Daphnia pulex: one gene and its partner. The protein of the gene in region 1 purifies or fractionates together with the protein of each later gene. This does not show direct contact. Links are inferred from orthologs where the notes say so. Each region holds a gene or a part of one and is shown in the gene's direction. Other genes may lie near its edges. The genes, in order: cdc42 homolog and formin-binding protein 1-like.

Region 1 (15,120 bases):
AGCTCCAGCAGGAGGAGGAGGAACGCGAACAACAGGATCGGCATCAGGGGGACCAAATGCCTTTTGATCTCTCCTCTCGGCGTCCGCATTCTCCGTCGGATGAATCCGGAGCGCCGCTTGATTTGAGGATTGACGGCAAGAAGGATCGCTCCAGCGACAACTCTCCCGCTCGCGGACGCCAGGACTCACCTTGCCCACCTCTGGTGATCCACAATAGAAGTCCGGCAACATCTCCCGTCCGCCCGTCTTCGTCCAGCGCTTCGTACTCTTCGGCGCCAGCTTCTCCGATCCGGCCCAGTTCGTCTTCCGGTCGGGCCACTTCGTCGCCGCTGCTCTGCCCGTCCACGCTCCACCCTGTCATGCTGGAGGCTATGTACCGCTCCATGGAGAAGATCCCTCGTCTGACCACCGTCTTCCCGGGAGGACCGTATCCGCCGAACCAGCCGCACCACCAACGGCCCTGTCCGCCGCTGATCCATCCGGCCACTGGTCTGGTCTCGCACCATCACCACCACCAAGCGTCCAGCAGCGGCAGCAACTACCCGCGGCTCGGCCGCCAGGAGTCGTCCAATTCGAACAAGACGGGCAACGCGTCGAGTAGCACCGGGGTGAACAAATCGCGCGACCGCTACTCGTGCAAGTTCTGCGGCAAGGTCTTCCCCCGCTCGGCCAACTTGACCCGCCACCTGCGGACTCACACGGGCGAACAGCCTTACAAATGCAAATACTGCGATCGCTCCTTCTCCATCTCGTCCAACCTGCAGAGACACGTTCGCAACATTCACAACAAGGAGAAACCGTTCAGGTAAATACCGTAGCTACTACATGTTTTTTTGTTTTGTTTTTTCTTGTTATCTTCCATTAGTCTGGAAAATTTCCTTTTTCCACTCTACGCGATGTCCAACACGCAACTTTTGAGTCCGTCTCGTTATTATTTTTTTTTCACCGCGAATAACCAGTTTTTTTTTTTTTTTTTGTATTTCAAATCTTAAATGGCCAAATGTACTCGCTAACCGGCGCCGGCTGCGCGCGGATAGATAACTATATAGCCAACCGAAATTCTTTCAATTGGTTTTACTTTCTGTTGGGTCAAGCGTGAAATGCGATGCTTGCAAAGAGTCTCTCCCCCCACCAAAAAGAACAGTTATTTAGCTAGTCATCATGTTCTTGAGAAATTCGGAAATTTCCCTTTTTTTACCCGAACATGAAGGGAAAGAAGAAAAAAAAAAACAACTATAATGACGACTTTTTTTCGGTGCTCTCTTTCACTTTGGTCTATTTAAAAAATAAAAAAAACGGACCGGCGGGCGCGACGCAAACTTTCTCTCCCGATTGGACGGAGCGCCGCGCAAAAGTTGTTAATGTTCGAAATCCCTATAGACTTTTTGACTGTGACCGAGCGCAGGCGGCCCAACGGCACGAATCCTCAGATTCATATTTCATTCGCCTTTTTTCTTCGGTGAAGCAGAAGCATTTCCACGACCGCTGTGTTTTTTTTTTGGCGCAATACTGCTGCGCCGCCTCGTTTTGTCACGCGTTTAAAGATGCTGTGGCGCTAGAGCTCATCCCTTCATTAAAAATCCGTTTCTCCCATTCCGCTGTGGCTGCCCTTCTTCGGCTATCGTTTTTTTTTTTTTCTTTTTTCACACAGGAGAGAGAAGAAAGCCAACTCTATTTTCGTGTATTTTGAATGCGGGGGAAGAAACCCCCCGCTGCTCGCTTGCATTGATTATGAATCTTCTCTCTCTCTCTCTCTCTCTCTCTCAATCGTGTGAAACTGAAAGCGAATAGGGGAAAAAAAGAAGTCTCGACATTTTTTTTTTTATCTCTTTCATCACAGGTGTAGCTTTTCATTAAATATTGTAAAATAAAAATAAAAGTTGTATTTTCTACTGTGGCCGATGATTGATATACCTGGTTGCAAAGCGGGATTGGAAATGGGGGTTTTGGGAGTGGTGAGGCAAATCGACACGGAGCGTTTGCGCTGAATGATGTCACCGTTAGGACCCGTGAATGGTCATGTACGTGTGCAAACACACACAATATGAAGAAGGTGTTTATACTTTCTTATTGTAGCTGATTAGACGAGAGGGATGGCTTACCATCAATCTGCTGTGTCCAGTGGCCAGCAACAAATACAGGTCACTGGCGGCCAGGAAAACTTGAGCGCATTTTCAAAAAAATAAAACCAGACACAGAAAATCTGAATTTTAAATATGAGTAGAGAGCGAACAAAAGGGGCAAAAATTTCGAAAAAAAAAGAGAAGAGGAAGAAGAAGATGAAGAAGAAAAAGTATTTTGAACGCGTGACCAAAAGAGGAGCGAACTGGATTGGTTAGCAAAAAAAAAAATATAAATGAATAATAATAAAAAAAACGTATATCTATACGTATACAAGGCAGATGTAGCGAAGGGTGTGTGATCACGACACGCCAGCGTATAGGAACCGCCCTGAAGACCAAGGCAAAAGCTGCGCAACGATTCTTTTTTCTTCTTTTCTTTTATTTTTTTACGTTTCGTAGTCGAATAGGATCATGCTGCATACTGACCTACTTGAATTGCTGATCGAGATTCTATGTGTACGTTCGCCATATAACCAAACAGCGTCAGACAGCAGATACACATAAAAAGAAAAAGGAAACGAAATAGAAAAGAAACAAAACACCGAAAATCGGCGCGGTCATGCTTCGTCGGAGCTCTCATCGCTTTGGGTGGTAGGTGGCAATTTTGGGAATGTCGAAATCAGATAGAATATAGAAATAAAAGAAAAAAAGGAAAGGGAGGTATATATACAAGATAGGCCGATAACTCGAGAGAAGGAAGACAAAGAAAAAATGGCTTCGAAACAATAAAAAGTCGAAGAAGAAGAAGAAGAAGAAAGAAGTCAATCGATAGATCGCATAGCGCTGAATGGAAAGTGCTTGTCGCGCGCAATTCGACTTATTTGAACGGGCCGTTCCGCTCTCTCTGGTCAGCCAGCAGTCGTCATTCCTGGCTGCGGCTGATCCGCCACCGTCGAACGTGAGCGATCACGGCCATCGAGCACATCGCCCGTGTCCTTGTCTGTCGCGACTATTCGCCATACTCATTCGAAATACTCCTCCTTTCAGCGCCCCTTCTTTTTTCTCTTTTCCTATTTGATTTCTCAACTCTTTTTGGTTATTTATTTGCGGTTCAATGATGTCGTCATGCGGGTCCTCTCCGCTATCCCAACGCTATATACATCACTCCTCGACATTGCGTATACAATATACATCGCTATCAAACTCGCTGTTCTGTCAAATAAAAATAATATCACACTTTATTATCACGCTCTTTATTATTCTGCGCATGTTGTTTTTTGTTTTGGTTTTCTCTCTTCTGTAACATTGCCTTGAAAGGGTGAAATGATATCGACAGGAAATGTTGTTGGCATGTTCTCGTCTATATTCTCATTCACCTTGACTCATCGTCTATTTCGTTTCTCTGACGGCAGGTGTCCGCTGTGCGACCGCTGTTTCGGGCAACAAACCAATTTGGACCGACATTTGAAGAAGCACGAATCGGACGGGCCCACCATTCTGGACGAAGATCGTAAGCGAAGTCGTGCGGCCGGAATGACGGCCGCAGCCGGCGCCAGGCCATCTGGCGTCCAACTCTTGAGGCCGCCGGCCGCAGGATTTTATTACGCCGACTTGGCCGCCGTCGCCGCCGCCCAGCATCATCACCAGCAGCAGCAGCAGCAGCACCGACGGGCGGCCATCCCGGATTTGCACCACAACATTTCGCCGATTCTCAACAGCCGCCTGGGCATGATGGGGGCTCAATCTCCCGTCCACTCGCCGGCCCAATCGCCGTCCGGCAGCAGCTCTTCCGACCACGACGAGTCGCCAATGAATAAGAAAGCCCGACACCACGAAATCGAGGAAGACGACGAAGAAGAAAGCGCCATCGAATCCAGTCCAGAGGAAGCTGAGGAGGAAGACGATCTCGCCAACTCGAAAGAAACCATCGCTGATGAGGAGCTTGCGGAGAGCTCGGTCAAAGACGAGGCTGATGCGGCCAGCGAGGCCGGCAGCCACAGCAGCAGCGGCGCCAGCAATAGCAGCGCCGGGGCGCCCAGCAGCGAAGGCAACGCTGGAGTTCTCTCATGCGAGGTGACCATCCACACGGACAACAAGTCACCGACTTTGTCGCCAAACTCTGCCGCTATTATCGTCGTCACCCCGTCCAGTTGAATTTCCGTTTGAATATATGACTGATGACTGTGAACTGCTGCTCTCTGTTACGTAAAAAAGTCATCAGACATAATATTGCTAGATAGTTGAATAGGCTGATCACGAATCAACCGACCCCTCCCTTTATTTGATTTTTGATTTTTTTTTGGTTTGTTTCTTCACTCCCAATCTACGGCCCGGTTTTTTGTTTTAACTTTCTCTTCTATTAATTTAGTGCAGTTTCTCTCTTCCATTTTTTTTTTTTTTTGTTTGTTTTCCCGTCCAGCAATACACACACAGACACACGCAAGTACACACACACCCAAGAGACATCACTGACACGTCAGCATGATGATCCGACACAAACACACGTGAAACACGATTTGTTCCTATTTGGATAGCAAGCACTGGTGCACCCAATTTGATTTCGACGCTATTGGTCCGGTAGAGACCCTTGGACTGTATCTTCACTCGGTGACACTTGCACGGATCGTCGCCTATCAGCGACACACATGGACCGTAGCCAATGAATTGAACGTAATTTGAGATTTTATAATTAATTAGTAGAAGAATGATAATCCCCCATCTCATTGTGTTCACCCCCGATGACCTCTTTTCTCATCTCTGTTTTTTTCCCCTCCCGAATTGTCGTTCATTTTTTTTTAATTGGTGGGTTTTCAAACAAATTACTGCTACCTACAAATTTACAAGAAAAACGTAAATGGAAATGATTTTTTTTTGTTTTGATTTATTCGAAAAATTTAAAATAGTTTGTTCTGAATGTTTTTTTTTTATGGTTTATCAATCAGCACTTTTCCCTGCACCATCCGGTAAAAATTCTGCAAATGAGGTACAAAATAGTGTTGAAATAATTCAGAGTGTATTTTTAATAGAAAATATACAGGCAGCTGGGAAAATATGGTTTACTGCTATTCATTATTTTTTTTCTTTAAAATAAAACAGGATTCCTGAAATTAGAATACAAAAAAATAAATAAAACAAAATGTCTCCGGTATTTCTATTTCATCAAAGTTTCGCAAACTGAACCGTAACCTTAAGATGACTCATAATTGCAACAACACCCGGACACCATCTTAGTACGTTCTTCCCATAAATTCGGAATAAAAAATGATTTAAAAAAAGAAAATTTTACAAACAATAAAAAGCGAAAACAAATATACCTGCTCTTTCGAATACGATTTAAAAATGCTTGAAGCCACAAATTCGAGACAATTGATATTTGATCAAAAAGTTGTAAGGGAAAAAAGAAAACGGCGATAAACGATTCAATTTAATGAAATTGGTGGTCTCAGATGGTCACACACGCTCGCATAGTCGCATTTTTCCCATGTTTTTTTTTTGTGGCTTGTCGCTTGCGGTCAGAGCTATAGACACCTGGTCAGTTCATGGCTGTGTTGGCTTCCCTATCCCGGTTTCAGGGTAAACGTAAGCCGATTTGGAAACTTTAAAAAGCGCCTCTAGTGAGTGTGTCAGCTACTACGTGAAGCCAGCCAATCAGGAAGGGTCTATGAAAAACTCATTGGCCAATCACAGCTTACTTTTCTACAAGAAGTGAACAATAATAAAAAGGTAGAAATATCCAACTGTCAAACCTCTAAGTTTCAAGCCGAATTTATATTCGATTTTGAATAGCCGGTTGTTTTCGCACAATCCTAAATTAATTTGCCGTAATTTATAAAATGTTGTACTATTTTCAATGAATGTTTTTACTTTCCAACTATTAGGCTCGTAACTTCAGCACCAGTTCATCATCCCAGCAGTTGGTGAAGGTAAATCATGTGAGTGTGGTACAGGTACATTTAACCTAATTGTGTAATTGTTATAGGCTCCAGTCCAAGTTTTTGGGTTGTAAGGTCGCTATGCCTCAGCACTCTACTCTGCTGCTTCCAAACAGAAATCTTTGGACAAAGTTGAGAGCGAGTTGAAGGACTTTCATGCAACTATCGCCAAAGATTCTCGTTTGGCAGAATTCATTGCCAACCCCACTTTGAAGAGATCACTTAAGAAAGATGCTCTTATTTCAGTTGCCAAGAAATTGAAAATGAGTGCTGTTACAGGCAACTTCCTTGGTAAGTTTTTCTTTTCTATTGGTTTTCACTTTATTCTAATTGTTATTCATATGTTTATGATTACAGAACTCCTTGCTGAGAATGGAAGACTTAACAAATTGGATGTTGTCACTGGCCATTTCTTTAACATGATAGCTGCATTCAGAGGTGAAGTTGTATGTGAGGCCACCTCAGCCGAGGTAAAATATAAATCTAAAAAACATTAAACAATTAAATGTTTAAAAAAATCTATTCTTATATCAAGGCCTTGGATGCTGCTACATTGAAAGAGGTTACTGCCGCTCTTTCTGGATTCTTGCAGAAAGGACAGTCTCTCAAGATTTCAACCAAGGTGGATCCCTCCATTGTTGAGGACTTGTAGTTGTCCTTGGAGATCGCTACATCGACATGAGTTTGGCATCAAAGATTGAACGTTACACCACTCTCCTTAAACAACCCGTCTAGAAATTTTAAGTTGGCTGCGTTATAGTGGGAAAGAAATATGTACATCAAATGGCAAAGATATGCTGTAGTGGATATGAAAAATAAAAGAAATCGTATCACGAGGTTCTCCTTGTATGCAAACAAAATTGTCATTGTTATTTCAAACACCACATTCAGCTAAAGACAATAATTTGTGCACATTATATCTGGTTGAAACATTCGTCTCTTCTTGGTCCATAAGTTCTCGCATATACCTGTGTCTTCGTTCCCAGTTTCGACTAAGTTCTGTTGGGCAAGCCGAGGATTTCTTTTTGGAACTTTCAACTACTGCCAAATGATCCTTTAGATTGGGAAGATTACTCACAAAGCGGGATGAGACTTCAACGAGCTGTCGCATCAATTTAACATTCAGCATGCAGGGAGGGGTAACAAACCGGACGGTCTTCAAATCCTTCTCCTGAGCTGCTTAAATGATGCTTTTGGATTCGTGAATGTGTGAAGCGACGGAGCATAATACTCGGGCGTATTTGTTAAACGTAGCATAGTTTGGCTCAGCTTCATAGAGTACATGCCACAAATTGACCATCAACTGCATTAGCTCACACATGATCCAGGGAGCAATAACTTGTTGCTGCATAGGAAGTAAATTCCAAATAGGTTTTCTGCTACTGATTTTAGCATTCTGCATCTTGGGTTTGTTAGTGGTTTTGTCGGCGGTATCTTCGTCTTCGGCTTCCATCATTTCGACCTCCTGTTCAAGTTTTGCAATAGCTTCTTCGTCGTCCTTTTCTTTCGACTCTCCCTTCTTCAGCATGTGAGTGTAGAGCGTGTCCCACATTGTCGTCACCACCGACACCATCTGACTAGCTTCATCTGCAACGGTGTCGGTCAGCAAGAGGCTGTCAAGCCACATGATAAGGCCACGATGTTGAATCAAGTCATAGGTAATGATTGAATTCTGAAGTGAAGATTGTACGACTTCAAGTATGAGCCGCTGTAAATCAAACAAAGAAAAATGTCTCGATGAAATCTCAAACTAAAATTCAATTACTAAAAAAATAACCTTATCAGTTTTGTCGGACAATAGATTGGATGGCTGCAAGGAGAGAAGGATTGGAAAGACTCTTCTTCGAGCACACACTAAATAGTCCTGACGACTTTTGATGCCATCTTGAAGAAGGCTGAGTAAAAAACTCCTTTGAAGCGACCTCTGTTCAGGTAGTTCAGTGTTATGAAGCATGACGAAAAATTCTGGAACTTGGGTAACATCCATAGCCGATTTTACCTAGAAACAATGAAAGGAATGGCGTTTAAGTTTTAAACGAGAAGGAAATTGCAATCAATTAACAGGAACATACCAGTAGAAAGTTATTGATTGCACGGTACATTGGGTGAGAAGGATCTTGAACGATGGCTGCAGCTTTGGCAAGAAATAATGCAATGATTGGACAGCTTTGGTGGTTTTAACATTTAACAGAAAATTTTGGTTTCCAGGGCATTGCTCCAGCATTAAGAGTCCACCGTTTGTAAGGATGGAACACGTTCAAAATTTCAATCCCTGTTTGAAAGTCACTTTCGTTAAAATGACGGGAGCAAATATGTGAGGTGCTCGTCAAATTACTACATGGAATTACTTCTTGCCATTTTGATAATGAAGTTTTAGGAATTGCAAACAGGGTAACCTCATTTTCTTTTTGATTTCCTTTGTAATATGTTGATTTACAACCAGGAACAGCACACCTGCCAACCATTTTTACATAAATTATGGTTAGGCTTCTTTCACGTAATACACAAAAATGGCCGCCGAAAGTATTATTTGAAACTCAACGTCTTATCACTAGATGGCTCTTTTTAAAGTTTCCACTTCACAACTTCTGACAGGCTCCGCCCTAAAACCCCCTGAAAATCGGCTTACGTTTACCCTGAAACCGGGATAGGGAAGCCAACACAGCCATGAACTGACCAGGTATCTATAGCTCTGCTTGCGGTTGAAGCGGTGGCGTCCTGAAATATTTTCTGACAAGTGGCAACGTTGCACCAGGGACGTTCACGCCTTGATATTCTCCAAGTGTCACTTCCACAACCGCTTTTTTTTGGATATTAAATATTTTTCAGCAAATTGTGCTGATACTACATTTCAAGATATTGATCGTAAGTGAATAAAGTGATTTGAGGTTCTATTCATTGACCGGTTTAAACCAAAGTCTTACTCCACTTTTATGTGTGTGTTTTCGCCCAGCGTCCTATCTATCAAAATGGCTGTCGAATAGTTTCGTTTCGCCCGCTTATCTCGTTGTGATCTGCTAATTTTGTGTAAGCCATTTCATTAATGTTATCTATTCCCTTTCATTTTAGAGTCTGACAGGAAGGAGCAATGCAGACCATCAAGTGTGTTGTTGTGGGGGATGGTGCAGTGGGTAAAACTTGTCTTCTGATTTCTTACACCACCAACAAGTTCCCGTCAGAATATGTTCCAACAGTAAGCTATCATGTGATACTCTCTCAAGATGTTATTTCTAACAGCTATTTGACATTTTTTAGGTATTTGACAATTATGCTGTCACTGTTATGATTGGAGGTGAACCTTACACTCTTGGGTTGTTTGATACAGCAGGTGTGAATTCCTTTCTACTTCATTTATATATATTTTTTTTCATTGTTACTTAACAATATTTCCTTAATTTTATGACAACAGGTCAAGAAGATTATGACAGATTAAGACCACTTAGTTATCCACAGACTGATGTGTTCTTGGTGTGTTTTTCTGTTGTCTCACCGTCGTCATTTGAAAATGTCAAAGAAAAGGTTAATATTAGTAGCTCAATCATTAAAAAACTGCAAACTAATGCACTCCTGTTTTGTAGTGGGTTCCTGAAATTACACACCACTGTCAGAAGACACCTTTCTTGTTAGTTGGAACGCAGATCGATCTGCGAGACGACGCGGCAACTGTAGAGAAGTTGGCAAAAAATAAGCAAAGAGTGATCACTATCGACCAGGGAGAGAAGCTAGCTCGCGAACTGAAAGCAGTGAAATACGTGGAGTGCTCTGCCCTCACTCAGGTAAGTCGAGCAAATTCTGTTTCTCCATAGTCGCAAATAGGTAACATGGTTGTTGGATTATGTCTCTCGCAGAAAGGGTTGAAGAACGTCTTTGACGAAGCCATTTTGGCAGCACTGGAACCTCCTGAGCCTATCAAAAAGAGGAGGTGTAATATTCTGTGAGCAAGACAAATTGACAGCAAAACAGGCAAAATAAAATTTCCTTTATATAAAATAAGGAGAGCTAAAAAAAAACACTCTTAAATGACACCTTGCTACTAACCAATGGAATTATTCAACGAGAAGATGGAAAAGCAAAATACTGATGATACGTTCTTTTTGCCAGTTCTTGCATTAACCAGTTTCAACGTGTCATTATCGTTTCGATTATTTTGTGTGTGCGTGCGCGTGTTTCGCAGGCCATTTGCCGCGCTCTTCCAATCTTCTTTTCATTCATCCTCTACCTTCTCGATCTAGGAAATAACACATACCTGTTCTGTTGCTCTCCTTCCTTTCTCCTCTCTTTCTTTGTTCATAAAAAAAGAAGTAAGCATAACAAAAGAACTTTGGCCTCATCATTGTAATCCTCATCGCAAAACTTGTCTGTATGGCATAGGAGAGAATATACAATAAAATTTTCTCTTATACCTTGCAGTTATTAATGCTGGTCAGTTCAGAATTGTCGCTACATTGGACGATTGCGTCGTCGCAATGTTATGGCTAATCTGCTACTATTTTTATTAATATAAGTAAAACATTTGATTGAATTTGACTTTTGACGCTTAGGATCGCTGGAACAGATGTGAAAGTAAGATTGCGTATGGCACTTGCGCATATCATACATTGATAAATAGTTTTGCCGGTTGGTTAGCAACTCATTTGCTCATTGACGTCATTTATTTGTGTATCAGCAGTTTTTAATCTACTACAAACGAAAAACGAGTTCAATTTTAAAAGTCCTGGTTGGTATGAACTAATATAGAACTTTATCACATGTTTTTGATAAGCTGTCGTTCAGCGACAGCGAAATGAATTTTTTTTTAACTACTCTCCCCAAAGGTTTTTATTTTTACTGTATATTACAACTTAAGTAAATTTTTTTCAATAACCGGCTGAATTTTTATGCAAATTCTTCTCGGAATTTATAAAGACATCGGAAAATCCGTTGAAAATAATTGTGATTTATATTTATTTAGCAACAATTTTTAGCAACAAAAGATATGATCATCATCAATCAAGGCAAGCATAAAAATTTAGATTATAAATCCGTGATTTTAACCAAATATATTAATTTTACTTTTTTCATAGAATTTGATACGTATTAAGCAGCAAGCTTATTTTTAATTTAAACATTCGAATATGTTGGAGTAGTAATCCTCTTCAAAGAATACGCTGGAGAAATGCATAGAACTCATCGGCCCCAAACAACCATCGTAATTGCTTGGTAGACAAGAGGGATCAACGTGGTGATGCAATGTTTTGAAGCACGAACCATGGAAAAACAGCTTCGGGATAAAATCAAATAACTGACATTAGATGCATAGTCTACAACAGTGAAAGGTGATAACTACAAGTGCATACAAAAACAACTAACCCGATTACGAATTTTGTTTGATAAGAAAGGCCATATCATAGCCACAAGAATCTTCATGATCCGAGGTTCATTAACGATATGAATTCCTTTCAAACGAATGGGAAACACGTCCTACAATATTATTGACAGACATTATTTTGAATATTATATATAGGGCTGGGGATCTACCTGTATGAGATCGGCCACTTTCTTAAGGAAAGATGGCGTGAAGTGTCTTATCTGGTGAAGTGCGAAATCTTGGAAATCCATGATGCCCACTACTCCTTTTGACTGAGTTTCAATTTCAGACACCATCATTTGAAAACAGAACACAACAGCACTGTAGACGTCCTCTAAACTGCAACGACGAACATCCCAATTACCTACAAAGTAAAGTTACTCTCTTAACTTTCATAGTTAAAACGAAGACATTCTTGGTGGAATTTACGGGCATTTATTATGAAGACACGGGATCCGTTTTGATCGCGAATGGGAGACGCTAGAAGATGGCCTAAATCTAAAACGTGTTTCACGCGTTCACTCCGCAAATCAGTAAAAAGCTCCGGATAGTTTTTCATCACTCTCAAATAATTCTTTAACTTTTTAGCAAATGAAATAGTTAATTTTAAATTCATTGGAGGATAGTGTCATCATTTAGAATTTTTTACCAACTTCATGGCGCGTTGCACGTCGCGTTTGCGCGCATAAATAAAACACAGCATCAGTTCATCAGGTATCTGGAAATTAATGTCGGATTCTGTGGAAAGCAGAGAATTAGTGAAGAAAACGAAGCAACTTATTACAAACGAATTTACCCTTGATGAGTGAGCCGAATTTGAGTAAGAGCTCATTGTTGTTTTCCATTTTATTTTCATTTATGTTGCTCATTTTTGTTATTAGTTGCAGATCGATCACCTATCACACGGAAATTGTTGTTTTAATGCAGGCACGCACGAATATAGTCAGACTACCGGTGTTTGCGGGTGGGATTTACTGCAGGCGGAAGATATTGAGTAATAAAGTCACACAATTTTGGCAGTTAATTAAATGAAAAAGAGTTTACTACTAAATTAAATTTCAAAATTAACTTTTTAACTTAGCGCGCTTATTTCAAAATAAAAAAGCATCAATATTTTCTCACTTACGATTTTCTGAACTGTTTGACTGTCGGACAGTAGCAGGTCGGAGTATAAGGACTGCTGTCGATTGACTAATGAACTACGAGTGATATCTTCAGTTAATGTATTGTGGAAAAAAAAACTGATCCGGGTCTTTGGCAATAACTGACCCAAATAATTTCGAGCAACCGGCTGTCTATCTCTGGAGAGGGTTGATCTACATAGAGTACACATGCAGCGCGTGTATGCTCTTTCGTTTGACCTTTATACATGCTGCTGTTAAATGAAGGAAATGTCAAAACTCGTGCCTTTTTAAAATATAATATGCGGTCTTCAAAAGTTGCTTACGCTGCCTTATTTTAATAAGTTTCAAGACCCATTCGTTTATTTGCTTACATCAATTCAGTTTACATTTTCAATAAAAAAAGGAGGGGGGGGGGGGATATTTGACTTTTATGGAAGATTTAAATCACAGTGTTAGTTCAAGTTGAATAAATTGCAAGTTTCTTCAATGGAGACTTTTGTGTCAGGCAGTTTTGAGCAATCCAGCCGCTCTCGAAAACCGCCGTAATCTTCTGGCAAATCCGCAACGTCTACGTATTCGTGCAAGGAAGCCCAGCAAGATCCGTGATATAGCATCTTTATTTAAAGAAAATGTAAAAAAAAATGTAAATAAAAGATTTAGACCGCAATAAAACCGATATTACCCGTTTTTGGATTTTAGCTGACAGGAAAGGCCAAATAATGGACATAAGGGTGTGAACAATCCAATTTTGATTAACAATATGGATAATTTGAAAGCTTATGGGAAATGTTTCCTGTAATAAAAAAAATTATAAAAACAAAAATGAATAATTAAAGATTTGCAAATCTGCTTTTCAAGTTCGTACGTTTCTCATCAAGAATTCGACTTCAGAAACGACAAATTTTACATAGCATGTAGTTCTGCACGAATTGGAATTCAGCGATTCCTCACTTGATTTGCAAATTTCTCAAATAGTCAAGAAAATTCGTACTATTAATAAATCAGCAATTTTCTTGGCATAGCTCGGCGTAAAGTGCCTTGCTTGGTGCAGACCGAGGTTTTCGAGATCAACAATGGCCACAATCCCGTTTATCTGAGAGTCAAGATTTGAAGCGAGCTGTTGGAGGCAAAATAAGTTACAGCGGAATATGTCATCTAGGGAGCATTCCTTCGGATTCCATCGCCCTACGTTAGTCAAGATTTTGTAACACTTGTGATTGAAAACGTCAAGATTTGTTATACCTGCTCGGAAAATAAAGATACGACGGCCTTGCTTATCCCTGGATTTATAAACGAGTTGCAATTGTTCCTTCAGCTGAAAACGCAATTTGAATGCGGACAAATTGGTGAAAAGTTCAGGATAGTTCTTCACCATTTTGAGATAATTCTTGAGCTGTCAATCAAGAAGGAATATTAGTTAAAAATGAATTCAGTCTGTAAAGAAAGTCAAATTCTAACAGATTTGAAGGCTCGATCTACGTTGTATTTTCGCGCGCGAAGGAAGCAGAGAAGGAGCTCCTCCTTTATCGGGTGTTCCAAAGTCGATTCTGTAACGTATAATAACATCCTGGTTTAGTCGGGGACACGAAGAGTTCATGAACTAACTGATAAACATTTGGTACCGTCAACGAGAGCGCGGAGGCGCATCAGTCCATTTACTTCGTCAAACATGATTTAAAATTTCCAAATGCCTCGGCGAAAGCAACAGAGTTGTGTCAAACAACCGAGGACAAAAATTAACTTGATGAAATCCTTTGAAACCTAATAAAATTGCAATAAAAAAGAAAATACATTAGTATTCCAACAGTTTGGTGTAGTGAAAAAAGGGCAGTAATTCCCTATTGGCAAACCAAACATGTAAAACAAACATGATTTGTTAGAAAACATTCACTGTTCGCCATATCTTTTAACACAAACTCAGCATCGTACCCAGAGTTAAAAGTTTATTTTTAAAATGTCTTCAATAATAGGCTAGACAGCGAACACGCACTGGATTGTGTTTCAAGTTTCAACGCTAGAAAATAATTTTATTAGGAACAAAAACAAACCAGCAAGAAGATAGATGCTCTCAAAGTTCAGTACGTACTGTAACACGTGAACAAAACGTGAAGGTTAGTGAACTTGCACCGATCGTTCAAATGGGGCATCCGCAATTGGACATGTAAACCACTCTTACTTTTAAGTATTTCCAGTGAATCGCTGTACGCTTCGTGTTCTCTATCCCTCGGATTTTAATTTTCAACTGACTATTACAACGCAAGAACTGCGAACCTAATATATAGCTCTTTCTTCCCCCCAGTATTTACGCCCTTGAAAGGCTTTTTTTAAATGCTTCATTTTATAGCCTTGAGGACTGAGGAGTCCTCCTTGGTCGCCTGGACACACGGAAGAAGAACCGCCTCTTTGACGCTTCTCGTTTCGTCGCCATCATAATAAACTCCTCTCTGCTAATCTGCTCAGAGCCACGACTCGTATCACGGCGCCTAGCTCTGTTCAGTGGCCTTGAATTTGTTCGCTTCGGGCTCCAACACGGCAGGGAATTGATACATTTTCTTGAAAATTCGAAATTCGTTTCTAAATACGCAATATTTTTATGTAATGTAACACTACATAATAACATGTTTTCCAATTTCGACTTGGACAACAAGAAATAC
Region 2 (15,408 bases), on another chromosome or scaffold:
AAATACCGGAAAGAAATGACTATTCTCCTGATTTATTGCTAGAAAGGTTTCAGATTTTTTATGGTTATAGAAAAATCAATTTAAAAATTGAGAATGTACTATATATATATTTCTTAGAGATCGCTATATAGAACATCTTCTACATCAACTGGAACAGTTATCAGCGGAGTTGAGGAAAGTTCGTGCCGAGTATAATCAAGAGAATGGAATTCTACGACAAGAAATACTTAATTTAGAATTGCGCATGTCCGAAAAAGAAAACGAAATAGAAGAAGCATTGAAGGACAAGGAAGATATCGAACGGAAACTAAGTGATGCAGCCCAATCGGCACAGATGGGATCAGTCGTCCAATTACAGTTAGATGTAATTTATAGAAATTTTCTTTGTTAAAGGAATATTATATACATATATTTTTACAACAAAATTATTTAGGAAATGGGAAAAAGAGCAAAAGGATGGGAAGACAAATTTGTGAAATTGAAAGATGTGTATCAAAAATTGCGCGATGAGCACATCAAATTGCTGCGTCAAAAAGCTGAAGTAGACAAGAAGCTTTCAGCTGCCAATACTTCCCTCGAACAAAGCAACAAAATTCAGTGTGAACTCCAAGATTCACTCGAGTTATCTAAGACTAGTCTGAAAGATGCAGAAAATGAGCTTAATATGCTTAAAACAGCCGAAGTTGCGAAGATCCAGTTACTTGGTGATGAAAAAATTGAGCTTCAAGAGGCTAACAACAAATTAAATGTAAATATGCCTTTCTTGTTTATTGAATCGTAATCTAATGCCGTAGTGCGTTTTTTATTTTATCATTAGACATTGATATCAGCGACTGAACTTAAAATTACGGAAGTGGAAGATCAGCTTGTTCAAATTCAAGAGGAAAAAGCTAAACTGTTGCTAGAAGTAGATCAGCTGAGCGCTACTTTAGAACTGAAAACCAAAGAACAAGAGGAGATGCATGCAAATTTTGAGACGTTAAAGGCGAGCGCAACAAATGGTGAAGTAGAATTTGCTGCATTTAAAACTGCTCAAGATGTAACAATTCAGCAGATGACAAAAGAAAAGGAAGATTTGTTGATTATTAAAAATAACTTGCAGGTTAGATTAAAAATGAAAGTTTGTTCTGTAGAAGCGCTACTAATGATAAACCATCTCTCGCGTGTCGGTTATCTAATTTTTGTCTGATAATTTTTATGTCTTTTTTTTAGGAAAAGTATGAAGAACTTGAACAGCATAATCAAGCCATGACAAAACAAATAAATGATCTTCAAGAAGAGCGGCAAATATTAGCAACGTCTACTACTGACTTGAAAAATGAGTTAGATCATAGAAAACATAAGTCTCTGGAATTGAATGAAGCATTAGAGCAATCAATTGAATGTGGTAAGAAGTTGGAGGAAGAATTCAATAATTTCAAAGTTGCTAAAGAAAACAGTATCAAGGAAATAACGGACGAAAGAGAACAATTAAGAAAAAACGGTACAGAAATGAAGGTATGTTTGATTTTCCTTTCATTCGCATATTTGGCCATTTTGCCGAATTATTATTTTTCTGTTTTTAGGAAAAGTATGAAGATCTTGAACAGTATAATCAAGCCATGACAAAACAGATTAATGATCTTCAAGGAGAGCGACAAATACTAACAACGTCTACTATTGAGTTGAAAAACGAGTTGGATCATAGTAAACAAAAGTCTCTGGAGTTGAACGAAGCATTAGAGCAATCGATTGCGAGTGGTAAGAAGTTGGAGGAAGAATTCAATAATTTCAAAATTGCAAAAGAAAACAATATCAAGGAATTGACCGACGAAAGCGAACAGTTGAGAAAATATGGTGCCCAAATGAAGGTATGTTCTGTTGTACTTTGGTAAATTTGGCAAGACATGTTTTTATATTGCCTAATATGTCTTGTTATGTGTGACAGGAAAGTGTCGCCAAGTTAGAACAACAATTGCAACATATTGATGGCGAAAAAAATAATTTGCAGGAGGAAACCCGAAAGCTGCTACAGCAGAATGATTCATTGACTGCTCATTACAAATCAATGCTTGAAGCTAGCAAACTTGAAGCGATGAATCTATTCCATCAGCTTCTAAGTACTAAACTGAATTCTAATGAAAATACTTATTAGCATCCATATTTATTGATTTAATTTGTTTCCTATGTTTGTCTGAAATCGATCAGTTGATTGCTCTTTAAAGGGAGAGCAATATTTGGAAAAATGTGTATTAGACTTGGCAAAACCTCCCGTTCTTGCTTTAAATCTTCAAGGTAAGGTTTTTACCGTTTGCACAGCATAGCTTCGCAAATTGGAAATCACTATATGTAATTTTAAAAGTTAAACCCTTTCACTTCTCTTATAGATCATAGTGGATTCACTATTAAAGGAGCCTTATGTTTGTTGAAAACGCTATCCGAGTCGTTGAATGCATATTGTTCAAGCAACAAAAGTGACGATGTCGCATCCCGCATAGTACCCTTAATATTCCCCTTTGCCCAATCGATCGGTTTTGTATTGCTTCATGGACAGCAGCTGGCCCACAGTCTAACTGATATTGAAAAAGTTGATGAGATGCTAAAGAAGTGTGTTGCGGCAGGAAAGATAACCATTCTATTTTTCCGAATTCTTCAGCAGCCTTTCCAGAATGAAGAAATCAATTCGAATTCAAATTTGGTACTCATTTTAGATATTTTTGCTATTGTATTTTTTTATTATTATTCAATTAATTTGTGTGATTTAAACAGGTTGAAAATGCTCTTCGAGATTTAGATAAACTAGTTATTGCTGTAACTGAATCATTGAAAGCCAACGTTGAACATAACGTCGGCGAAGAACTCGAGTCTGAATTAGGAGCTATGGAACGAGCTATAGAAGAGGCAGCTGCGCGAATCGCAAAACTATGGGATAGTTCTAAACAATCCCACACTGGAGTTAAATTGGAAGTGAGCGAAAAGGTTCTGGATTCATGTACCGCATTGATGAAGGCAATCGTTGATTTAATCAAAAAAGCTAAAGTCCTTCAAGAAGAAATAGTTGCGCGTGGAAAAGGTTGAACTGGAACACGACACTAAATGGCTATTCTAAAACTAAACGTTCATTTTTGTTCGTACGCAGGATCTGCTACTGCAAGAGATTTCTACAAACGAAATCATCGTTGGACTGAAGGTCTGCTGTCGGCAGCTAAGGCCGTTGGTTTCGGAGCGAAGCTGTTAACGTAGGAAGATTTAAAAAAAAAGGTTGTTCAAGTAATTTTTTAAACAGTATAATAATTTCAACAGAGACGCAGCAGACAATGTGGTTAAAGGGCAAGCTAAATTCGAACAACTAACAGTGGCATCCCAAGAAATCGCCGCCTCCACGGCTCAGCTGGTGTTTGCAAGTCGCGTTAAAGCAGAACTACAAAGTAAAAACCTCCAAGCATTGGCTGAATCGTCTAAAGCTGTTTCGTTGGCTACTGGAGGGGTGGTTGCGACAGCTAAACATTGTGCAGAACTTGTCGAAGAATCGAGTAAATTTTAATTAAAAATTTTGTGATAATACCAAATGGCCATAATTAACCAATTTTTATTCTACTATTCAGCGGTTCTGGACTTCGCACATTTGACACTGCATCAAGCCAAACGATTAGAAATGGAGTCACAGATAAAATTTTTGGAGTTCGAGTCTTTGCTGGAAAAAGAACGTGTCCGATTGTCGGCTATCAGAAGACAGCATTACCAACTTGCGGGTGACACTGATTCGTAAATTTCCAAACCACCCGCTGTAGCTGGTGTGTCATTTTTAATTGCAACGTAAAGAACGCGCAATTTTTTTAAATTTTCGTTCTGCAAGTTCAAATCAAGTTTCTTTTATTTTCTATTATAAGCACCTATTTCATTTTCATCTTTATAGTTTAAAAGAAATCCATTGTCTTATTGACAAGTAGATTTTGGAGAGAATTTGAATGTCATTCCGCTGTTTAAATTGTTATTGTGCCAAAATTTCGGAATGTTAATAATGATATGAATTACCAATTGTATTAATTCTGCTTTTCAAATACCAAGCACTACAACACAATTTATTTGCAGATTATTTACTTTTACAGACAAAAAGTCTTGATTATTTAATTAACTTTTATTTTACTAGAGGGGATTGAGTCACCCCTTACTTGTAGCTTCTTTTGACGCTGTTTTGACATGTACGACATCATGGTATACATGGCGGGTAGAAAGAAAAACAAAAGATACATCCTCATTAATGTAGGGAAATGAAATGAGAAATTCCACTTGTTCGGCAAGCCTACGGAGAACTTTCCGGTTTCCTCGAAGAATGGAATGTTTCTGAAAGTTGAGAAAACAATGTGAATAAACACATAGAATTTTTGAAAGTCGCTACGTACCGCAATATAACAATTCCTTCACATAAGAAGCCAAGCGGGTAAAGAGGTATCCAAACTGTGTATCGCAACCAAGTGATTATGCCGAAATCTTTGTCGTATACTCTCATCATGTAGTAAGGATATCTATATCAACATAACTTCATCAGAATCCGTAGTTTCTCGCAAAATTTAAAAATTTCAACGCATTACCTGAAAAGCTCGATGATTGACCAACATAGTATCAAGTAGAAAATGACTGGTTTATCTTGAATTCTGCTTTCAGCTTCAATCAAGCAGAATAGTATAATGGATCTTCCACCAACTTGCACTGTGGGCTCCATAACACTTCCTTTAGTATAGCCAAATAAGGGATGAAAAATCTCTAATGCTTGCATGAGTTGACAAAATTTGAGAGGGTAATGAACAGATTGGTATGCAACTGGTATAAAATCTAGAAGAAAAAAAGAATTAATGTTTGAATTGTCTTTACCGCGAAGGGATAGTGCAGGTGCAGTGGAGTACATAAGGGAAATATTTATACATTGCGCTCTTTCTTTTGTTACTTTATTTACACTTTTCATGCAAACTAGATCTAGGATCTTTTTGATAAACTTTCCCAAATAACAATAAGGACTAAAGAGCATAATTTGCATAAATACATCCATGAACACTGTACACTCTACACAGAAATAAAAAAAAGAACTTACCATAACCCAGTGTTGAATATTTGAACACCAGCATGGAAAATATGTATGTAAATCCAACAAATTGCCATAAATTATAGACAAACAAGTATGTCTTCCTTAAGTTTTCTAAATTAAAACTCATGTGATCAGCAACAACATTTTCACTATCAAGCTCATCCAACTTGCTTGAAGAAATATCCAATCCTGCTTCATCATCATCTTCAGATCTCCATTTATCAAAATCAATCTTAAAATAAAATGTTTTTTTAACAGAAATTTCCATTGGTTGTAAATACTGTTTTTAAAGTAATACCTTAAGCCAAGTGGGTTTCAAACTAGATCCAGTAAGCTTTGGCCACCATCCATCATTCTGTTTTTTCAAACTAATATCAATCTGCCGGGCAGTAACTCTATACTGACTAGACTAGGATGATAACAAGATCAAATTAAAGCTAGAATAATGTGCAGTTAAATAAAAAATAATAATAGCTTCCATACCACAGGGACTATATTAGCCCCTAATTCCAATTCAAACTCATAAAGTTGTGTTCCTCTGGCACCCACACCAGTTGCTACAAACTTTATATGGTTTTCATTAACCTGTACATCAGGTTCCTTCATACCATGGCATCAAGGAAAGCAAAAAGAAAAATAAGAATAGTAACAAAAGGTGGTTTGTCGACATTGTTTGATCGCAGTGGCCATGCAGACGCAGTAAACAGCTAAGGAATCAAGAATATTAATTACCTGTACGTCTTTCAGATCAACACGTAACAAAACGTGTGAAGTATTTTGGGCCCAATAAACAAATGGGTGAGGATTTCCTTTGGAAGTCATGTCCACCAGAGAGCAGAGACTAGTTAAAAAGCTGTCCTGTAAACTGTAAAGTAACGTAAAAAAAATCCTATTTAACGTATTTTTTTTTCTACGTTTCAGTCTGCTAGACTTGGCGTGTTTGTCTTTTTTGACAGATATACAAAGATCGAGCGAAATTGCCAAATTGGAGACTTTTTACACTCTTCTCTTAGTATTATAGGAAAGTTTTAATCTAAAAACACAAGGAATAAATACTGTTTTCAATTTGACTAAAATGACAAATTTTAATGTTAACAACAAAATGAAACAAAAAATATCACCAAAACGTCAAGTAGCCTAAACGTAGCTAAACTTGCCAGATATTGAGCGGGGATATTGAAACCGTTGAAACTGACAAGCTGAAGTTATCGCGAAAAAAAGGTTAAAGCAAAATATTTATTATGCATATTTATTGTAGTTAAACAATAAACATGCATACTTTTTATGGTGACATTTTAAGATCTGCTTCCCTCCCTATCCCTAAGATTAGCCCGATGTTCTTATCAGTTGTCACCGGCGATTTCTCAATATAATGAAGTGAATAACTTACGTTATTGCAAGTATATTGCAAGTATAGCTGTATAGTTGTTAGCTATAGGCAGTTGGGATTAAAATATTTCAATTTAGGAGATTTAAAAAAATATATACGGTTATACTGTATCTTTTGACGGTAGATGGCTGAGGTAAACAGGAAAACTTTTTTTCATTTGACTATTGCCTTCCGACTTTCTCACCAGGCGGCAGGTCGAATTGGTATGGCCGATGAGTAAGAGAAAAGTTTTGGTCGAAGTGGCGTTAGCAGCAGAAGTGTATGTTGGTCAGCATATTAAGTTGGTGTGTGTGCTTGAAACTCGTGTCGAAATTTTGAATGTTTTACCTGCAATGTCAACTTGGAAAATAATTGGATAAGTCGGATACGAGCATTCTGAAAAAAAATGAGTTGGGGAATCGAACTTTGGGTAAGTTGTATTTCAGTTTCAACTGAAATCTAATCATATCGTAACACACCCCAAATCCACAGTAGCCTAGCAGTCAACAAGACGACCCATCCCTAGCTTACAGCGTTTGCATTCTACTATTTTCAGTTTCTTTTTACAACAATCAAGACTAACAATTGCCATCACCATGTGATTGGTGTATAGGGTCGAGAAACCTAGCGTAAATTTCATTTCATTTTACTACAAATACTTACTTTGTTTGAAGTTTGTCAATCGAACGAGTTGTTGCAACTAGCCTGGCATGGTGTAATCAGACTTGAAATTTGGTTACTCGAACGAATTTTTTAGCTTGCTTAATTATAACGAAATTCTTCTGATAGGAAAATATTACTGCTTTATAGAGTTCTTGAAAAATATTTCTGTAAAATTCTTCAATTGAATCATTTGTCAGGGTTCAAACTCAAATGTCCTTTTTTTCGTTTTTTTTAACAAGAAATTTTATTTGAGAACGACACACCGGATACTGTTGAGAATGTTTCAATAGATTGCCGTCAACTTCTGGCACTTAATTATTATTAAATTTCCTTTTACACCGCGTTAGAATTTTGATTTTTCCGTCCATTTCCGTCCATTGCTAAGCAAAAACGTAAATCATATTTCTCTGGTTGCACACGTCAGTTTCCTGTGTACGATAACTAGTCGAATCGATCGGTGATCAAATGAATCGCAGTAGATTATATTTTGTCGAATGTTGGTGTTTTAATATCCTGGCATCAAATATTTTCGCTAAAATAATTATTTTCTACATTCATTTTCTCTGTCCGAGTGTCCTTGTTGCCATCCGGTTTAAGACATGAGAGACGGGATCTCCATCAAATCGTAGTCGGTTGTTCAAATGCATTTTATTTTCTGTTAATAGATCGTTTCCCCCCCATTCCTGGAATGACTTCTTGTTTTGAAATCCCACAAAGTCTTTTGTTGTCATTCATTTACCTTTTCGGATTGCACGGGTATTTCGTCTTCATCGCGTGGAATTTATCTTCCAACTCACGTCTAGCTGTGCTTCTAATCTTCTTCCGCTTCGTTCACATTTCTCTTTTTTGCTATTCTGGCTTGTTCTAAATCTGTTTGAGGGGGTGGCTGTTGCAGCAGCCAAAGATTGTGACGTCTTCAGCTTGAGTCATGTGATTCGTGAGCTGAACTGTCCTCTCTTTCTCTCTCTCTCTTGCTTGTACGTAACAAGATAGGTTCCTGTTTTATTTCTGGCTAAGCTTCTCCCTCTTCTAAACATCTTCGTAGAAACGTGCGTGATCGGCGTCCATTTTTTTCGTCCATTGTTGCAATTTGATTGACAATCTTCGTTCTTGACTTTATATCAAAGGTGATAAGATCGTTTTGAATGTTGAACTTCTTAGATGGGTCGCATTAACGACATGCACTGATCGAATCGGTCACCGGTGCAATCAGATAACGGCTTTTGATATGTGTGTCGTTGATATTGTTTTAGGACCAATACGACAACGTAGCTGCCCACACCCAAAAGGGCATTGACTTTCTGGAGCGATATGGGAACTTTATCCGGGATCGGTGCGCAATCGAATCCGAGTACGCCGGAAAACTGAGGTATAATAAATTATCGATTTGAATTTCCTTTTTATATATATCAATATATATTTCATTAACTTTTGTGTTTGTCCAGGCGGTTGGTGAAGTCGTACATGCCGAAGAAAAAGGAGGAAGAAGACTATCAGTAAGTGGAAACTTTTTCTTTAAGAAAAAATAAAATAAAATTAATAGTCGGGATAAGGTGCCGCTGGCATGCCCTTTTGGGTTTCAGTATGCTCAACGCCTCGAGCTATTCGAGCGATATTCGAGAGATCATTTAAAATCGTTTCAGAGACGATGTTGGGAAACGACCCATTTCCTTGTTGTAGTTCAGTGATTCGGCTATTCTCTCGACGCATATCACATACGTGCTGAGGTGTAACCTATCCCGTACAATGAGTATATACTGTGAACAGATTCATAAAATTTATCTATTGAGCAGACAGGGCCGGCCGGTGTTACATACTGTGTAGCAATATTTTTTTTCCCTCTTTCTGTTCTGACTCGCCATGTTGCACAATAAAAGCGTCGCCCATTGGTAATAAAAGGAAAAGATCCGTGCTGGAATACCTAAACGGCCCGACCCACTAAACTCGAATATTTCTTCCCGTTATATTCACAAGAGGACAAACTGGCTGACCTTGCCTGTTTTTCTTCAGAAATCTGTTAAATGGCCAACTGCCGGATCTAGGCAAGTTCTTCACCTGACCAGGGAACAACTGTGTACAGCCTTCAACCTTGGATACGAACTATCGATTTTTTATTTTCCTTACCGGCTTGTAACTAGCAATGACTCATCGTATGGTGACGTCACCCCCTCCCCCCTTCTTTTTCAGCCGACCATCCCCACCCTTGCATAGTAAAACAGCAATCCAATCAAACAACGTAGCTTCCCCGTCAAGTACTGCAACCCTGGGAACGTGAAAAGGACGCCTCCGTTCCTGGAAAAATGAAATGATTCCATGATTGTAGTTGTTTCCATTCGAGTCGGATTTTTGTATTTGTTTTTTTTTATTTTTTATCTTGATCACGAGCATTCCTTCCACCTTCAGCTCATTACTCACATACTCGGACTTGGGAAGAATGCAGGTTGATGGGAGACGAGACAAGGAAGACGAGTATCAAACGAGTTGTTGATCAGGTGCACGAAACATAACGGTTCAGTGAGTTTCTTTAACAGTTTGAAAACTAGTCCTCCGTTTGTTTAGTTTTGTTTTGTTGGGGGGAGAAAAGGGGTGAGACTAGGCTGGTGGTCCATTCCGGTCATAACCCAACGCTTTTTTTCTAGTCGGGGATAACGAACGAAGTCCAAAAATGAGCTCCAATCAACTGAAGTGAATTTTTTTGTCTGGCTTCAGGGAACACTCGGTGAACTATGTAGAAAAAAATTCAGACGGTAACCGTAGAATATTGGGGCATCCTCTCAGCCCACCCACTTGTCACCAATGTTCACACCTTTTCTTTCTGTACACTTCGACCTTTTGTAATCCAAGAACCTTATTCTCCAGTTATTGTTTCTTAATTTTTATATCGACCAAGCAAATAGATGAACATTTTAAGATTAACCACTAATCACCACGGACAACATTATCAAATGGGTTTTTCTGGTTCAACTGTGGGCTAGATAAGATTAACCACTAATCGTCACGGACAACATTATGAGTTTGAAATGGGTTTTTTTTTAAGAAATCATTTGTGGGATAGATAAAAACTCAAGTTATTACTTTTGTCAAGTTTAAAAAAACGGAAACGAGAAAGACTTTTCAAATAAACAGACGAAATTTAGGGCGGGAGGGGTTGGCCCCATGATTGTAGACTGCGTTAGAGTCTTCCTTCTGTATTATCCCTCGTTACTTGCGCGTGTGTTTTTCTTTGCCTTCAAATGACGGTTGACCTTTCACTTCTCCATATAGGTCGCCGCAAAATGGATCAAAAAGGAGAGAGAGAGAGAGAGAATCAGGCTAATAAAATAAATTTCATTTTTATTTTAGAAAAGAGCTCAGAAGATTTTCGAATCCTATTCGCGCTAGTGTTGCTTCAAGGGTTGATATTCTATAGACAATCTTGTTAAGCAAAGACGAAGCCCCTGGATTTTTTTTTCGTGTTTTTTGTGTGTTTTTTTGTTTTTCCTGTCGCTCTGTCGGAGGAAGAATTACTCAGTCACGCACTGAAAAGGGGGCTATGTCGTGTTGCTCCACAATTCCCTATCTACCGTCTCGCTCCATTGCGTTTCTCAGATTATACTGTTGAATCTGATTCGCAATTCGTGCGCTTCCTCGGCTGCTATCTCCGCACTCGAGGGAAGTTGTCGCTGAAAATCTAATCAGACCCACCAACATCCTATGGCTCTTCTCTCTAGCTTCTCTCTTTCTGGGTCGTCAGGGGAGGATAACGACAATAAGGCATGGCGACCATCTGCTGAGTCATTCCGTCAGAATGTCCAATAGGTGACAAACCCACAATCCCAGATGATTAGCCTTTAACGATCCTTAAAGGGAAATATGACGGCCAGCAGCTAATTCCTATCATCATCAAGCTAATGTGCGATTAGCTGCTGCTGCTGTTGCAACTCAAACTGCACCTATTTCGCAGTCGGGTTGAGGGAGAACGAGAAAAACGAGTTATTTGTTATTTCCGATTGGCGAGAGATATGGCCGTGTGAGCATCTCGCGTTTTTATTTGTTTTCCTCCTTTTCGTAATGGACTCGAGCGTGCGTGTGCACGATGAGCCTGGGAATGAGATTTTTCTTCTCTCTCTCTTGTTGCTTCTCTCCTCTCGATTGCTTTTTCTTTCGTCTGGTGCGTCGTCATTTTTATTTTGAAATTTGTTCATGTTGTGTTTTTCTCGTATCCATCTCACCGTATCCGAACGACTCGTAATGGGTTCCCATGCGGCGCACCGAACGTCCATGGTGAACCAGCTGTGCCTTTTTTTTTTTTTTTTTTGCCGCAGCTCGGGCCCGGCATCGACTTTGAATTTGAACGTGTGGCATAATAGATCTAATTTCCATTTTTCATCAACAGATTTTCGTGCCAGAAAGCCTTTCGTGATGTCCTGACCGAGGTCAACGATCAAGCCGGCCAACATGAAGTGGTAGCCGAAAACCTGACCTCTGCCGTCACCAAAGAGATTGTGGCTCTCGTCAAAGACTTGAAAGAAGAACGCAAAAAGGTATATTCAACGTCCTGTCTATGACTCTCTTCGTAATCGTCTAGCATTTGGATAGGTCCAGCATCTTCCATCACGGTTTGAAATTAACCCCAACCAAAAAGACAAACTTTTCTGCGGCTCAAAAAAAGCGGAAATGGTTTCCAAGTTTTTAAATCGTTTTTATTAACAAGTTTGTTCGTTAGTGGCTTGCGAGTAGTGGGGAAGTAGCAACGACGGAATTCGACGGTATCCCTTCTCATGCTTGAACGTGGATAGCCGCAACTTGAAACAAACACACACACACATACACGTTGTGCTTCAAGGGCATGTAGACTTGGAAAGTTGTGATTATCATCAAGCGGTTTGAAGGCATTGTCTTGTTTTCGTTGGGTGGTGGTTATCCAACTTTAGTGCGGGCGTGCGTGTCCCATTCAATCCACTTTTCTTCTTCCAGCAGTAGCTTTTGGCCTTTGGCGTTGCAGCCAATTTTTTTCTTTTTTCTCTCCTCCCCACGTAACGCAAACAAAGAGAAATAAATTAATATCAAACAGATATATATCCATTACTTTAATACCAACGTCCAAAATGGAAAGAAGCTGAACAGCCAACAGACTTTTGTTTGGGTAATAATAGCCTAAGGGTGTGTCACACTTTCAAAATTCGATGGCAACCTTGAGACTCGACGTTTTACTTTCCATCTCCTTTTTGAAATTAGGTTCTTATTTTTTCAATTGAATGAAAGTTGTGGATGGGCTTCATCGGTTTGCGGCGCATAATTTGTTTCATGATGACTTCATTATTTGATTTGATTTGATTTGATTATTTTTGAATTGTTTGATAGGCCCTACAGGAAGGTGCGAAATTGCAGTCTTCGTTGAACCAGCAGTTGTCGGCGCTGGATCGAGCGCAGAAAAACTACGAAAAAGCTTTCCGGGAAGCGGAGCGGGCCGAGGACGCGTACCGCAAAGCCGATGCCGATCTGAACCTCTCGCGGGCCGACGTCGAAAAGCAGCGCATCAACTCGTCCATCAAAAGTCACCAGTGCGATGACAACAAAAACGAGTACGCCAAGCAACTCCAGAAAGCCAACGAGCTTCAGACGTGTCATTATCAGGTGCGTGGGAAACCAACGGCTTTTTGTTTTTCATCTTTTTTAAACAAAAAACAAAAACAAAAAATGAAATAAGACTAAAATAAGGAAAAACGTCAAACCGTTTTTGGCGAGCTTGTCCTGATTATCAGCCAACGAGGTTTCGGGACCATCCCGGATGGTAATAAGTGCGCTAAAATGATTGTGATGCTGTCATTATTTGTGCTCCCTCGCTGTGGTTGGGAGGAGCTGTCTCGGCAGATGTTGCATTAACGTCAACATGGCGTGTACGTAATAATAGTTTAAAAAGAAAAAAAAATCTGGCCTGTGCTTTTTAGTGCGTTTCTAATTTATTGATCGAAATAATGTTGACGTTTTTTTTTCCTTTTTTTCTTTTTGCAGACGGCCCTTCCAGGTGTATTCCACACCCTTCAGGAGTTAGACGACAAAAGAATTAAACAGGTCGAGAATTTCATAAGGAAAGGTGTGGATATAGAGCGCAGTGTCTTTCCCATAATTAATAAATGTTTGGACGGAATTGTCCGAGCCGCCGACAACGTCGATCCGGAAAAGGTGACCTGATTGTTTGATTTTTATTTTATTTACGCCCCCTTTTTTGTTTGTTGATTTTTTATGTTTGATATTTTTTGGTCATTTTTATGGTCAGGACTCGCGGCTGGTTATTGAACGGTACAAATCCGGGTTTTCGCCACCGGAAGACGTGCCTTTCGAAGACCTGAGTAATATGCGAAGCGGCAGCGTCGGCTCGGACTCGTCGAGCAATGGTGGCGGCAGTGGCGCCATTCATTCGACCATCAGCTTGACCTCGAGTGGCATCCTCAAGTCCGAATCGAAAGGTGGCACGTTAACCGCCATGAAACTCAAAAAACGCGCCGGCATCTTTAGCATATTCAACGCTGGAAAGGTAACGTCATTATCAATAGCAGCATCTTACCCCCTTGTTTATTCTAAAAGAAATTGAATAGAACCAAGCGTCCCGATTAACAATGGAACCCGTTTGATGGAGATTTTTTGCGATAATCTCAAATAATCGATTCTTGTTTTAGTTGATTTCTCGTGTTTTTTTTTGTTTTTTTTTTTTGTTTTTTTTTTTAATTTTTCTGATCATCCCATCTCACCCTTGTTTTGTTATCATTTCTTTTATCGTTCTGCCAATACGGATGCTGAGCGTGGAGACGTTGCCATTCGTATTGATTGTAGCACGCCACACGTTTCAAGTGCACTAATCCATTATCGTAAGTATCTCTGATTCTAAACAAAAATTTTTTTCTGTTCTTCGTTTGCCCCCCGCTTGCGCGACACACCGTTCCCTGCGACTGAAATGATTCCAATCGAACAGTTTAGCCGCCAGCATGCCTCATCCAAACCCTTGCACGTTTTTTCTCCCCCTTTCACCACACGCTTTTGTCGCCAGTGTCTTTTCTGAATTGTAATCAAGTCCTGCAACATTTGCATTTTTTGCAATTTGACGGAATTGCCAAAGTGTTGTTGTCGAAATGGGTTGACGCAATCCGTCAGCCCTGGACTGTCTCAATGGGATAAACAACGAGCGCGCGCCGTGTTCTGTTTTGGTAATGAGTTTTTTTGGTTTCGCTTTCTCCTTTCCAGTCGTCTCTCATTGCCTTCGTCGAACCCAAGGAGGACTATAGCGATTTGGCGCCGAACCAGCGACGCAAGAAGTTGCAGCAGCGGCTGGACGAGATCAACACGCGGCTGCTGCAGGAGACGGCGACGCGCGACGGACTCATGAAAATGAAGGGCGTCTACGAGCAAAACCGCGCCCTGGGCGATCCACTTTCCATCGAGGGCCAACTGACAGAAAGTGGACAGAGGTACGTACATAATAGATTATTCTATTTTCAACCCGATCGATTGATATGGATTCGCTAGGTGGCGCTACTACTAAATCTTGTCCGAGTCGAGTCCTCTCTCCAGTCTCTCTCCGCTCCTTTTTGGGGGGCTTTCTTTTTCTTTTCTTTTTTCTTTTTTCGTAACCGAAATAAACAAGCCTATACTGGCCATATGCTAAACAAAAGAGCTTCCGTGACACGCCAAGAAAGGTATGCCAGCATTGTCTAAGGTAGAAGACTGGACTCGGCGCAACCGAAATGGAGTTGCTAATGAGATGGCATATTTTTTCGACGTTCTTTCCCTCTCTCTCTCATGTCGAGTGCATGGAAAGATGTGAAGGTTAAGGCACGGATCATCCGTCACCGTTTTCGTCTTCCTTTTAAAAATAAAATGCATGACCTTGAAATTCCAGGAAGCGTTTGCAGCAGGTTGAACTCACGTGTCGTCTTGTTTGACTTTTGTTGATGAAAAATTTATTTTCATTTATTTTTTCTGTTGGTGTTTCATTTTTCCATTTACCAGCGAGAGCTGAAATGTTTGCTAATAGATTTAATCATTTTCATTCTTTTCCTTTCTCAGGTTAGACAAATTACGGCTGGAACTTCACAAATTTCAAGGCTATCTGGATGAAGCCGAAGGCCGAGTCTCGGCTCAGACGCTAAACACACCCGGCGTCCGAACGTCTTCAACGACCGGAATTAACGGCGGCAGTAACGGAGGACTAGGATTGAGAAAATTGATGGGATCCAAGGGATCCAACAACGCCCTAACGCAGCATGGCGGCTCGGACGAGTCTCTCAGTCGGAGTGCGTCCGATTCCAGCGTTTCCAACCCCAACAATAAACCGTCT

What was found.
Region 2: the proteins of cdc42 homolog (region 1) and formin-binding protein 1-like purify together in Drosophila melanogaster (affinity purification with western blotting; 4 studies listed by BioGRID). This does not show direct contact. The link is inferred for Daphnia pulex from reciprocal best matches to the Drosophila melanogaster genes Cdc42 and Cip4.

The regions. Positions count from the first base shown.
Region 1 is NC_060017.1:3,179,487-3,194,606, reverse strand, and holds cdc42 homolog, read left to right. Parts: upstream 1-8,705; 5' UTR 8,706-8,860; intron 8,861-9,064; 5' UTR 9,065-9,083; coding exon 9,084-9,188; intron 9,189-9,250; coding exon 9,251-9,323; intron 9,324-9,404; coding exon 9,405-9,514; intron 9,515-9,573; coding exon 9,574-9,771; intron 9,772-9,843; coding exon 9,844-9,933; 3' UTR 9,934-10,397; downstream 10,398-15,120. Other genes in the region: histone-lysine N-methyltransferase PRDM16-like, read left to right, coding at 1-805, 3,476-4,217; nucleolar pre-ribosomal-associated protein 1-like, read right to left, coding at 7,176-7,703, 7,773-7,994, 8,068-8,097; alpha-tocopherol transfer protein-like, read right to left, coding at 11,091-11,255, 11,345-11,455, 11,513-11,706, 11,772-11,922, 11,992-12,080, 12,139-12,211; alpha-tocopherol transfer protein-like, read right to left, coding at 12,919-13,080, 13,149-13,259, 13,458-13,651, 13,709-13,859, 13,925-14,013, 14,089-14,137. UniProt on the Drosophila melanogaster protein: Regulates mbt kinase activity and is also required to recruit mbt to adherens junctions. Together with mbt and Frl, regulates photoreceptor cell morphogenesis. Together with Frl, has a role in the neuronal development of mushroom bodies.
Region 2 is NC_060028.1:4,799,977-4,815,384, reverse strand, and holds the start of formin-binding protein 1-like, read left to right. Parts: upstream 1-6,654; 5' UTR 6,655-6,837; coding exon 6,838-6,861; intron 6,862-8,067; exon of another isoform or gene 8,068-8,221; intron 8,222-8,347; coding exon 8,348-8,463; intron 8,464-8,539; coding exon 8,540-8,590; intron 8,591-11,469; coding exon 11,470-11,617; intron 11,618-12,437; coding exon 12,438-12,710; intron 12,711-13,088; coding exon 13,089-13,259; intron 13,260-13,353; coding exon 13,354-13,611; intron 13,612-14,315; coding exon 14,316-14,539; intron 14,540-15,137; coding exon 15,138-15,408. Other genes in the region: huntingtin-interacting protein 1-like, read left to right, coding at 1-46, 118-364, 434-748, 818-1,102, 1,213-1,497, 1,566-1,850, 1,928-2,099, 2,188-2,274 and 5 more; very-long-chain (3R)-3-hydroxyacyl-CoA dehydratase-like, read right to left, coding at 4,107-4,323, 4,383-4,505, 4,572-4,812, 5,069-5,294, 5,361-5,471, 5,546-5,662, 5,795-5,920, 6,453-6,494 and 1 more.